2 linked regions of the Mus musculus genome follow. The protein of the gene in region 1 purifies or fractionates together with the protein of each later gene. This does not show direct contact. Links are inferred from orthologs where the notes say so. Each region holds a gene or a part of one and is shown in the gene's direction. Other genes may lie near its edges. The genes, in order: Amer1 and Fbxw11.

What was found.
Region 2: the proteins of Amer1 (region 1) and Fbxw11 purify together in Homo sapiens (affinity purification with mass spectrometry; 7 studies listed by BioGRID and IntAct, counting the BioPlex papers as one, with this or other methods). This does not show direct contact. The link is inferred for Mus musculus from reciprocal best matches to the Homo sapiens genes AMER1 and FBXW11.

Annotation. Positions count from the first base shown.
Region 1 is NC_000086.7:95,441,745-95,446,044, reverse strand, and holds the start of Amer1 (APC membrane recruitment protein 1), read left to right. Parts: upstream 1-1,204; 5' UTR 1,205-1,387; intron 1,388-4,300. UniProt on the Homo sapiens protein: Regulator of the canonical Wnt signaling pathway.
Region 2 is NC_000077.6:32,732,748-32,736,560, forward strand, and holds part of Fbxw11 (F-box/WD repeat-containing protein 11), read left to right. Parts: intron 1-752; coding exon 753-871; intron 872-2,390; coding exon 2,391-2,640; intron 2,641-3,813.

The DNA of each region.
Region 1 (4,300 bases):
GCCTAAGCTCAGCTGGCCCGTTGCCACATTCCAGACACAGTAGCCTGTAAGGCTGGTCTGACAGGCCTCCTCAGTGTTCCTCAGTATGACCTCTGGTTAGGGCTCACACAAAACTTCTTTCCCTATCTAGAAAAGGGATCTGCACAGACCAGACTCACAATTGATGAAGTGTGCTCTGGAGATCTTTGTTTGTTTAATTTTGCTTTTGTTTTTGGAGACAGGGTTTCTCTGTATAGCCCTGGCTGTCCTGGAACTCACATTGTAGACCAGACTAGCCTCAGACTCAGAAATCCGCATGCCTCTGCCTCCCGAGTGCTGGGATTAAAGGCATGTGCCACCACTGCCCGCCTGGAGATCTTGAGAATCATTCCATGTTCGTTGGAAGGTATGGAATTTAGGTGAGAGGCCAACTATTGAAATAGTATACTCTAAAAACAGTTATTTTCCTAGGGAAGAAAAGTGAAAGGTACCCTGAAAGGTAAGTATAGGTCTATATTCCAAATATGTCCCAGTTACTGGCAGTCTAAGTAACGGAGGTGAAGTGCCTTTTCCCAGGCAGCACTGATGGTAGTTGACCTCAATCTTGCCTTCCCTAAGAGCCTGGGGCAAGCAAGGAAAGTGCAGGGCTAAGGAGCCAGGTGGTGTGGGGGTGGGAGGACCAAGAGGCAGGTCACTTTCCTGACAGGTGATTTCCTCTCTGGGAAGACCAGCCACCTGGCCCTGCTGCCACTCTTAATAATTAGCCAACCATGGTGCTAAAGGTTTCTGCAGGCCCCACAATCTCTGGCTCCTTCCTTTTCTCCCCCACTTCTCACAGCTAGTCTCGAACTGAGTGGAGAAACTCTTTGGTAGCAACCTGGGAGCAGTAGCGCAAAAGCACCAAGTTAAGGAATGAGGAATGTATGCAAAATCGAAACCGAGTTCCAAGAGTCTGGCAAGTCCCATTTGGGCGGGACTAGCTCCGGGAGTAGGGTGTGTAGCCACGCTGAAACCCGCCCCGCGTGGGAGCGGAAGTAGGGAGTCCCTGCAAGGGGTTCGACAACCTCTCCGCCCCCCTGCCAATACCACGCCCGATTTATTTGCATTTAAAGAGAGAAGCACCAAGGAAAACAGTGGGCGGGCGAGGGCATGCCTTCCAGCCGTCATGATTGGACTGTATGCCTGCCAATCATATCACGGACGTCCCACCCTATAACTGTGGAGTCCGGGGTGAAGGGGGTATGGGGGAGCTGCCCAGAGCCTGGAGAAGGGTAGTCGGCGCAGAAGACTGCTGTAGTCCCGGTGAAGGCTGCGGCAGGAGCAGTGGTGGCGTTCTCAGCAGAGGCTCCAGCTCAAATCGGAGCAGCGCAGCAGACAATAAACAGCGCTGGGAGCTGGACCTGGCAGGGTAAGCATTGCACACAGCTAAGAGCCATCCTGCTGAAGGTCTAGTGCATCCCCGCGTGCTCCGCTCTGGTCTCCTGGACTAGGGTTTCCAGAGCCTGGCTGATCGGAGTCCCAGCCTCTTGCTGGTCTTTCTTTGAACTCGCTTTGCGTACTGTCCAGCGAAGGGCCCAGCGGCCGTTAGTCTTTAGGGTCCGGGCGACCGTGGCTGGGGGGTGGGGTGGGAGGGCCGGAAGGCGGGCGGACTATCCTGGGCTACGCCTCTAGGTTGTAATGGGAGGCTGGGATGGGCCCACACGTGCTGTTGCGTGGTTCCGGGAAGGGCGCCGCTAGCCAGCACCCGGAGAACGCATTTGCAGGCCGGGAACTCCTTATCTTTGTTTGTAGTATATTTTCTGGAACAGCTGTTAGGCCGGTGCTGCTCACCCGCGAGGCCTTGCTGTGGCCCCTCCCCTCTGCGGTGCATCTCCTATGTCTCTCCTCTGCAGAGGAAGCTGGCGCGCTCGCTTATGGCCAGACTGAGACTGGCTTTAGGGTGGATTAAGATATCCACAGTCTGTTCCTCCTCAAGGGAGCACAGTTGGGTTTCTGAACTTCCCACTTATCCTGGAACCTTGGTCCTATGGTCCCAACCAGCCGCACCCCCTCCTGGGCCTCCAGTCTGTCGTTTGGCTCCCACCCCCATTGCAGGCGGGCTGGACCAGGAGCTCTTACTGGCCCTTGGGTTAGAGCTGCAAGGCCGCTTTGTTGCCGCCCCCACCCCCTACGCGCCTCTTTTCCCTTGTAGGGCATAGGGCGCGTTTTTTTTTCTTTTTCTCTCCAGCCTTTGGTTTAAAATAGCAATAGGCACAATATTGTGGGGGGATTTCCCTGCTAGAGGCGGAGGGGGCCGTCGTTGTAGTAAAGAACACACAGTATATATAAGGCAGACAAATCCTACAACTTCTCAGTTACTTAAAATACCCAGCCTGCCAGACTGCTGTCATTGTCTGCTGCAGACACCTCTGACACTGGTGACCGCCCAAAGGCGTGATTTCTCCTGAGCTCCCCTTTGAGGGGCTAAGCTTGCCAGATGAGCCATGGGAGGCAAAGGCGGCAGCGGGACTAATACAGCAGGACCATCCTCCCTGTCGCTGGACTCGCCTTGAGAGAAGTGTAGACAGCCCTGTTCGCATATGTCTTCTGCGTCTCTGGCTGGCCTGCCTCAGCAACACTGGTATGGACTGGTCTCCGGGCACTGCATTGTTGGACTTTCTGTCCTACCATTGGAGATTCCAACAAAGCCCATTCCTTCGAGTGCCCTACTCTGTGCACCACTCTGGACTATTAAGGCATTCCTGAAGAATAAGAGAGGGGATTTGACTAAGGGACTGTGCAGGCTGGACAGCTTTATAGTGGGGCATTGAGACCCAGTAAATAAATCTCTTACTTTGTAACGTTAACATGGGATATCTATCTATCTATCTATCTATCTATCTATCTATCTATCTATCTATAGATATAGCTATATAGACACACACACATACACCCAAGCTAGGATTGGGGATACCACATTATTTTCACCCCTACCTAATTGACCAGACCTCAACACATCTTTGCAGCTGGTCTTTTATTTCCAGCATCTGACTCTGCCCTGCTTTGACTTCAGTCCAGCACCTTTCCCACACTCAAACACTCTCATCCTACACTTGTCCAAGTCCCTCCCTTTCAGGCCTCAGTTCTCAACCAACTTTCTCTTTGGGGCATTTCAGGCTGCTTCTAGATGAGCAGACCTCTTGGAACTCCTGTACAGTTAAGTTTCACTGACTCTGCTTTGTTTCCCTTATATAGGTATTTAGGTTCTCTCAGAACCCTCATAGGGGTAAATAAAGCCTAGGCCTCAGCTACAACCCTCTAGGATCCTAGATTTATAAAGCAATTAATGAGTGAATGTTCCAGAAGGACTTTCTGTCTTTGTAGAACTTTAGAAAAGACCTTTATCCTCCCAACTTGTGTTTGCCTTAATCCATGAAACATAAAGTAAACGTGCCTAAGGCTCAGATATGGATATAATATACCTAGTGTGGGTGGAAAGAGGGATTGGGTTGCTACTACATTCAAAAAGAAAGTCATAATTAGTTCCCTCTATTATCAGGGTCTGGACTGCTCAAACCCTGGAGCTCTGCATACTTTTGGTTGCTGATTCATGAGCCTACAGGCAAAGTGCCATGGAGAGATCTCTCTCTCTGCATTTAGAAAGCAGCTGGGAAGTACAGGAGTTTGGTAGAGAAAGAATAGACAGAATGAGAAATGAAAGGGAGTGCCTGGCAGGCAGGGTGAGTGGTGGAGGTGGCATAACTCAGAGGTGCAAAAGAGTTTAGGACCCAGTGGTGGGAACTGCCAAACATCAAGCCTTGAAATGGTGATCTAATCTTTTTAGGCGAAGATCTTTAGATCATTGAACAAAGGCTGGTCAGGGTCAGGGGTTGGGGGTGGTGGATGCACCTTCGAACCAGCGATAAGAATGGAAGGGTGTTTGATTGTTTGGGGGTATTTGTATTGGGGTAATTTGGGGTTTTGTTATTATTTTGAAACAGGATTTCACTAGGTAGTCCCAGCTGTTCTGGAATTTGCTTTGTAAGCCAGTGCCTTTGAATTCATCGATATTTGCCTGTGTTGAATGCTAGGATTAAAGGGGTGTACCACCACCAGCCCAATAATAGAGTTTTTGAAAGGGTTTTTAAATGGGGTCTTAGAGATTGAAAGCATCCTACAAGTTAGGTAGGTAACAGGTTACCTCTAAAGTTCTAAGTAGAGGTGTGGGGAGGGGCATGCTATCACAAGAGGGAAATTTCACACTGTAAGATTCCTTTTGGCATTTCATAGGTTGGGGAGGAGCACCTGGGCCTAAATACTTATTTGCTAAAAGCTAGAGAAA
Region 2 (3,813 bases), on another chromosome or scaffold:
CTAGGCAGGCCTTGGGAATGAGCAGGTGTTCTGCAGTGGGCGTGGGTAAGCTGCAGGGTGCCCAGGTAGTGTGCTAACTTTAAAGCATTGAAAAGAATTTGCTTAACAAGCCATGACAGAGTGAAAAAGGCTGCCCGATGGAGGAGGATTGGTTCAGTGTGTGCTGTTCTGAAAGAGCAGCTCTGAAGAAGAGGAAGGAAGGGAAGGAAGAGCTCAGGCCTGAGAGGAGCCGTTTGTTCTTAAGGCCCTGCTTCCCTTCCCTTCCAGAAGCTGCCCGCTCTGTCATCTCATGACCTGTTTCAATTCTTAAGTGCTTAGTTTGACTTTGTAACATTTTCTTACTAAGAACTCTTGGTTCATTGTTTGGGATTTTGAGAGAACAAAGGCTCTATATTTTTAAAGTTTTGAAGCTATAAGGGGGGGGGGTATGTGTTTCTAAAAGGCCGTCATAGAGGCTGTCACTATTTACTAGAGACTCTTTCCAGACTTTATAAAAAAACCCCTTTCTCAAGCTGCTGATTGAGCACAGTGGCCAAGGGCTACATACACCATAAGGAAAGCCGTGTGACTATTCTGCATGCGAGTAGGTGTTGCCCCATTTCTTCTCCTCTTGTCATTTCCTACCTGTTTGAGACTCATCTTGTTTCCTACACACTGTGTGTTTCTTCGATGATTCAGAGTGCAAGATGCGTGGGAATCTGTGTGTGAGTGTGTGTATTAAACTGCTGCTGTGCTTGATCTTGTCTCACTAGATCTGGGATAAAAGCAGCTTGGAATGTTTGAAAGTGCTAACGGGCCACACAGGCTCTGTCCTCTGCCTCCAGTATGATGAGCGAGTCATTGTAACTGGTTCTTCAGACTCCACGGTGAGGTGAGTGCTCTGATCTCAGAGACAAAGTCCTGAGGAGACAAGGATGCGTACCCTCTTCAGAGATTTGTACACACATACATATCCACATGCATGCACACATATTTGTGGTTCTAGACATATTTTTAACTTACTGTAGTATCTCCAGGTTCTTTTTGATGGAGTTGTACTAAGCAGATAGAGCAGGAGGCTGAGTTTTAGCTGTGTCCTGTTCCTCTTCATGCTGTATAGAGATGGCACTATGCTCTCCTAGCCAATCACACTGCCTTTTGTTACCTTCCTCCTGTTCTTAGGAGCCTGCCAACAGAGCAGAGGGGAAGAAGTCCGCTGTTGTTGAAGTGTGAAGGATGCAGGAACTGAGAAAATCAGGCTGTTGGCAGACCCTTGGGAAAGTGAGCTCTGAGAGCCAGAGATGATAGATTTGATTACGGATATCTGCTTGAGTTCTTTTAGGCATTATCTTCATCTGTGTTGGTACCTTAGAAAACTAAGAAGTTAAATAGTTTCCCGGGAGTCAAATTACCAGTGCATTTTGAGCCTTGAGTTTAAGTAACCTGTGACTGTCTTTATAAAGACAAGGCATTAATGGTGGAGGCTTTAGTTTTTAGTTGTCAACCCAGGATAGAGTGGAGAAGACATTGCATAAGAGAGTTGTGACTAGTAGTTGGGTATCAAAGATTAAAAAGGGAGCGTCACTGAGATATGCTCCTGTGCTCCTGGGAAAGCACTCCTCCCCATGTCTCAGGATTGCAGGCAAGGTGACTGAGTCCAACAGAGAAAAGGACATCATAATGCCAAGGCTGGCTAGACTGAGGGGGACTACAGGGGATGAGGAGTGGAAAGCAGCAAATCTTATGTGATTCAGATGCTTAGAGACAATCGCTTATTCACAGGACATAGGATAGTTGCTCATTCTACCTCTGGATTCTATGATGTCCCCTTTTGGTTACTGTCACACTGTCAGGCTTTGTTTAACCCTGCCCACAGCACAGCTGCTGCCCATGCCCCTGCTTGGCTTCTAGGCTGCTGCTTCAGCCTCAGGTCACTGTTTAGCCTTCAGGGTTATCTTTTGGTCTGTGACAGTATCCTTTAGGATGTTGGAGCTTTTTCTAGAGATGCTACACCTGTGCACCCCATGTCTTGGGTCAGACAGAAAGTGCTCTGACAAAATGCCACAGCTTAGTTTGCAGATGAAAGCAGCAGGTTCCTCAGCATGCCAGAAGCCAGTGGGAACTGTCAGACTCCTGTCATCACAGACTCACTCAAAGCCTGCTGTCTTGAGGGATTGTCTTTGTCATTGGTACAAACCTGAAAACATCTCTGAGTTAATTTCTTAGAGTGTGAGATAAACCTGTGTATAGCCAGATTTAACTTCTTAAGAGCATCTTAGATTTATCAGTATTAAGGAGGCTGCTGCCAGGGATCTGCTGGTGCTACCACACACCTGGTACAGCAAGAATGGCATGAGCCCACATGTCACCTTTCCCTGGCTTTACCATCACAACTTTCTGTTCTCTTCCAGAGTCTGGGATGTGAACACTGGTGAGGTGCTCAACACACTCATCCACCACAATGAAGCCGTACTGCACTTACGCTTCAGCAATGGACTGATGGTGACTTGTTCCAAGGACCGTTCCATTGCCGTGTGGGACATGGCTTCTGCCACCGATATCACTTTACGCCGTGTTCTGGTTGGCCACCGTGCTGCTGTCAATGTAGTAGACTTTGATGATAAATACATCGTGTCTGCTTCAGGAGACAGGACCATTAAAGTGAGTGTGTCTGCTGTCTTCATCCTGACTGTTCCATCTCTATACAGCAGAGAAAAGGCAGAGATGGCTTACACCAGGTGGCAGGGTCTGTTTTTTATGCATTCATACCAGATCTTCCCATTCCACATGCTTCTGGAGCCATGGGCAAGGCAAGAAAAAGCCATTGGTCCCAGTAGAGAACAATTGCAAATTTCATGAGCTCCATGGCTAGTCACCCTGAGTGTGCTGTGTATAGGAGTTTTATACAGGTCATCTCATCCACCAGCCCACACACTTTTTTAGGATAGGTCTCTGTTTCACAAACATGGCTCAAACTAATCATGTGGAGCCTAGATTTGGTTTTTTTGACTGCTGAGAGCTTGCTGTTGTGTGCTGGTTAGATGGCTGGAGAAAGAAGGATGAGCAAGACGTGTCCCTGTCTTCAAGAAGTTTATTTGGCAGACGGAAGGCAATCATGAGACCAGCAATTTGTAGACTAAGATAACCTGCAGCACCGGTGTAAGAAATTCAGTTCTGATTCCCATATCTATGTTATCTCTTAATTACATTGATTCTGTGACATTTCACACATTGTCCATGCTGATAACATTCACTCAGCCCTCCTGCTTCCACATGATGTTCCAGGCATTCAGCATTCTACCCTCTGTCTCTGAATTTGCCTGTTCTTGACATTTCATGTAAACAGAATAATGAGCTATGTGGCCCTTTGTGTTTGGCTTTCTCATGTAATACAGGGTTCAGCACAGATCCATGCTTTGTTGCTTCTGGTGGCCAAATTCATCTTTACTCTAATTGGATCACACTTTGTATTCCCCTTCTGTGCTGATGGACTGTTGCTGGTTTCCTTTTCTGGCAGTCATGGATGATGTTGCTATAAACATTTGCCCATGCATTTTTGCACGTTCATTTAGTTCTCTTAAATTGACTAACAGCGCAGGAAACTGCAAATGGTTTTTCAGGTTGTTGTCCCATGTTATGATCCTGCCAGCATGAGACTTTGTGCTGGCTTGAAGGATTTCTAATGGTTAGCACTGGACAGCTCTGTTCCCTGATAACTCACCCTACAAATCATGGGCTATATCACATGAAACTGGAGGTGTCTGAGAGCTGAACAGTGGATTTTGTGTGTATAACTTAGCCATATGCCAAGAGTCAGCACAAGATCAGCCCTGA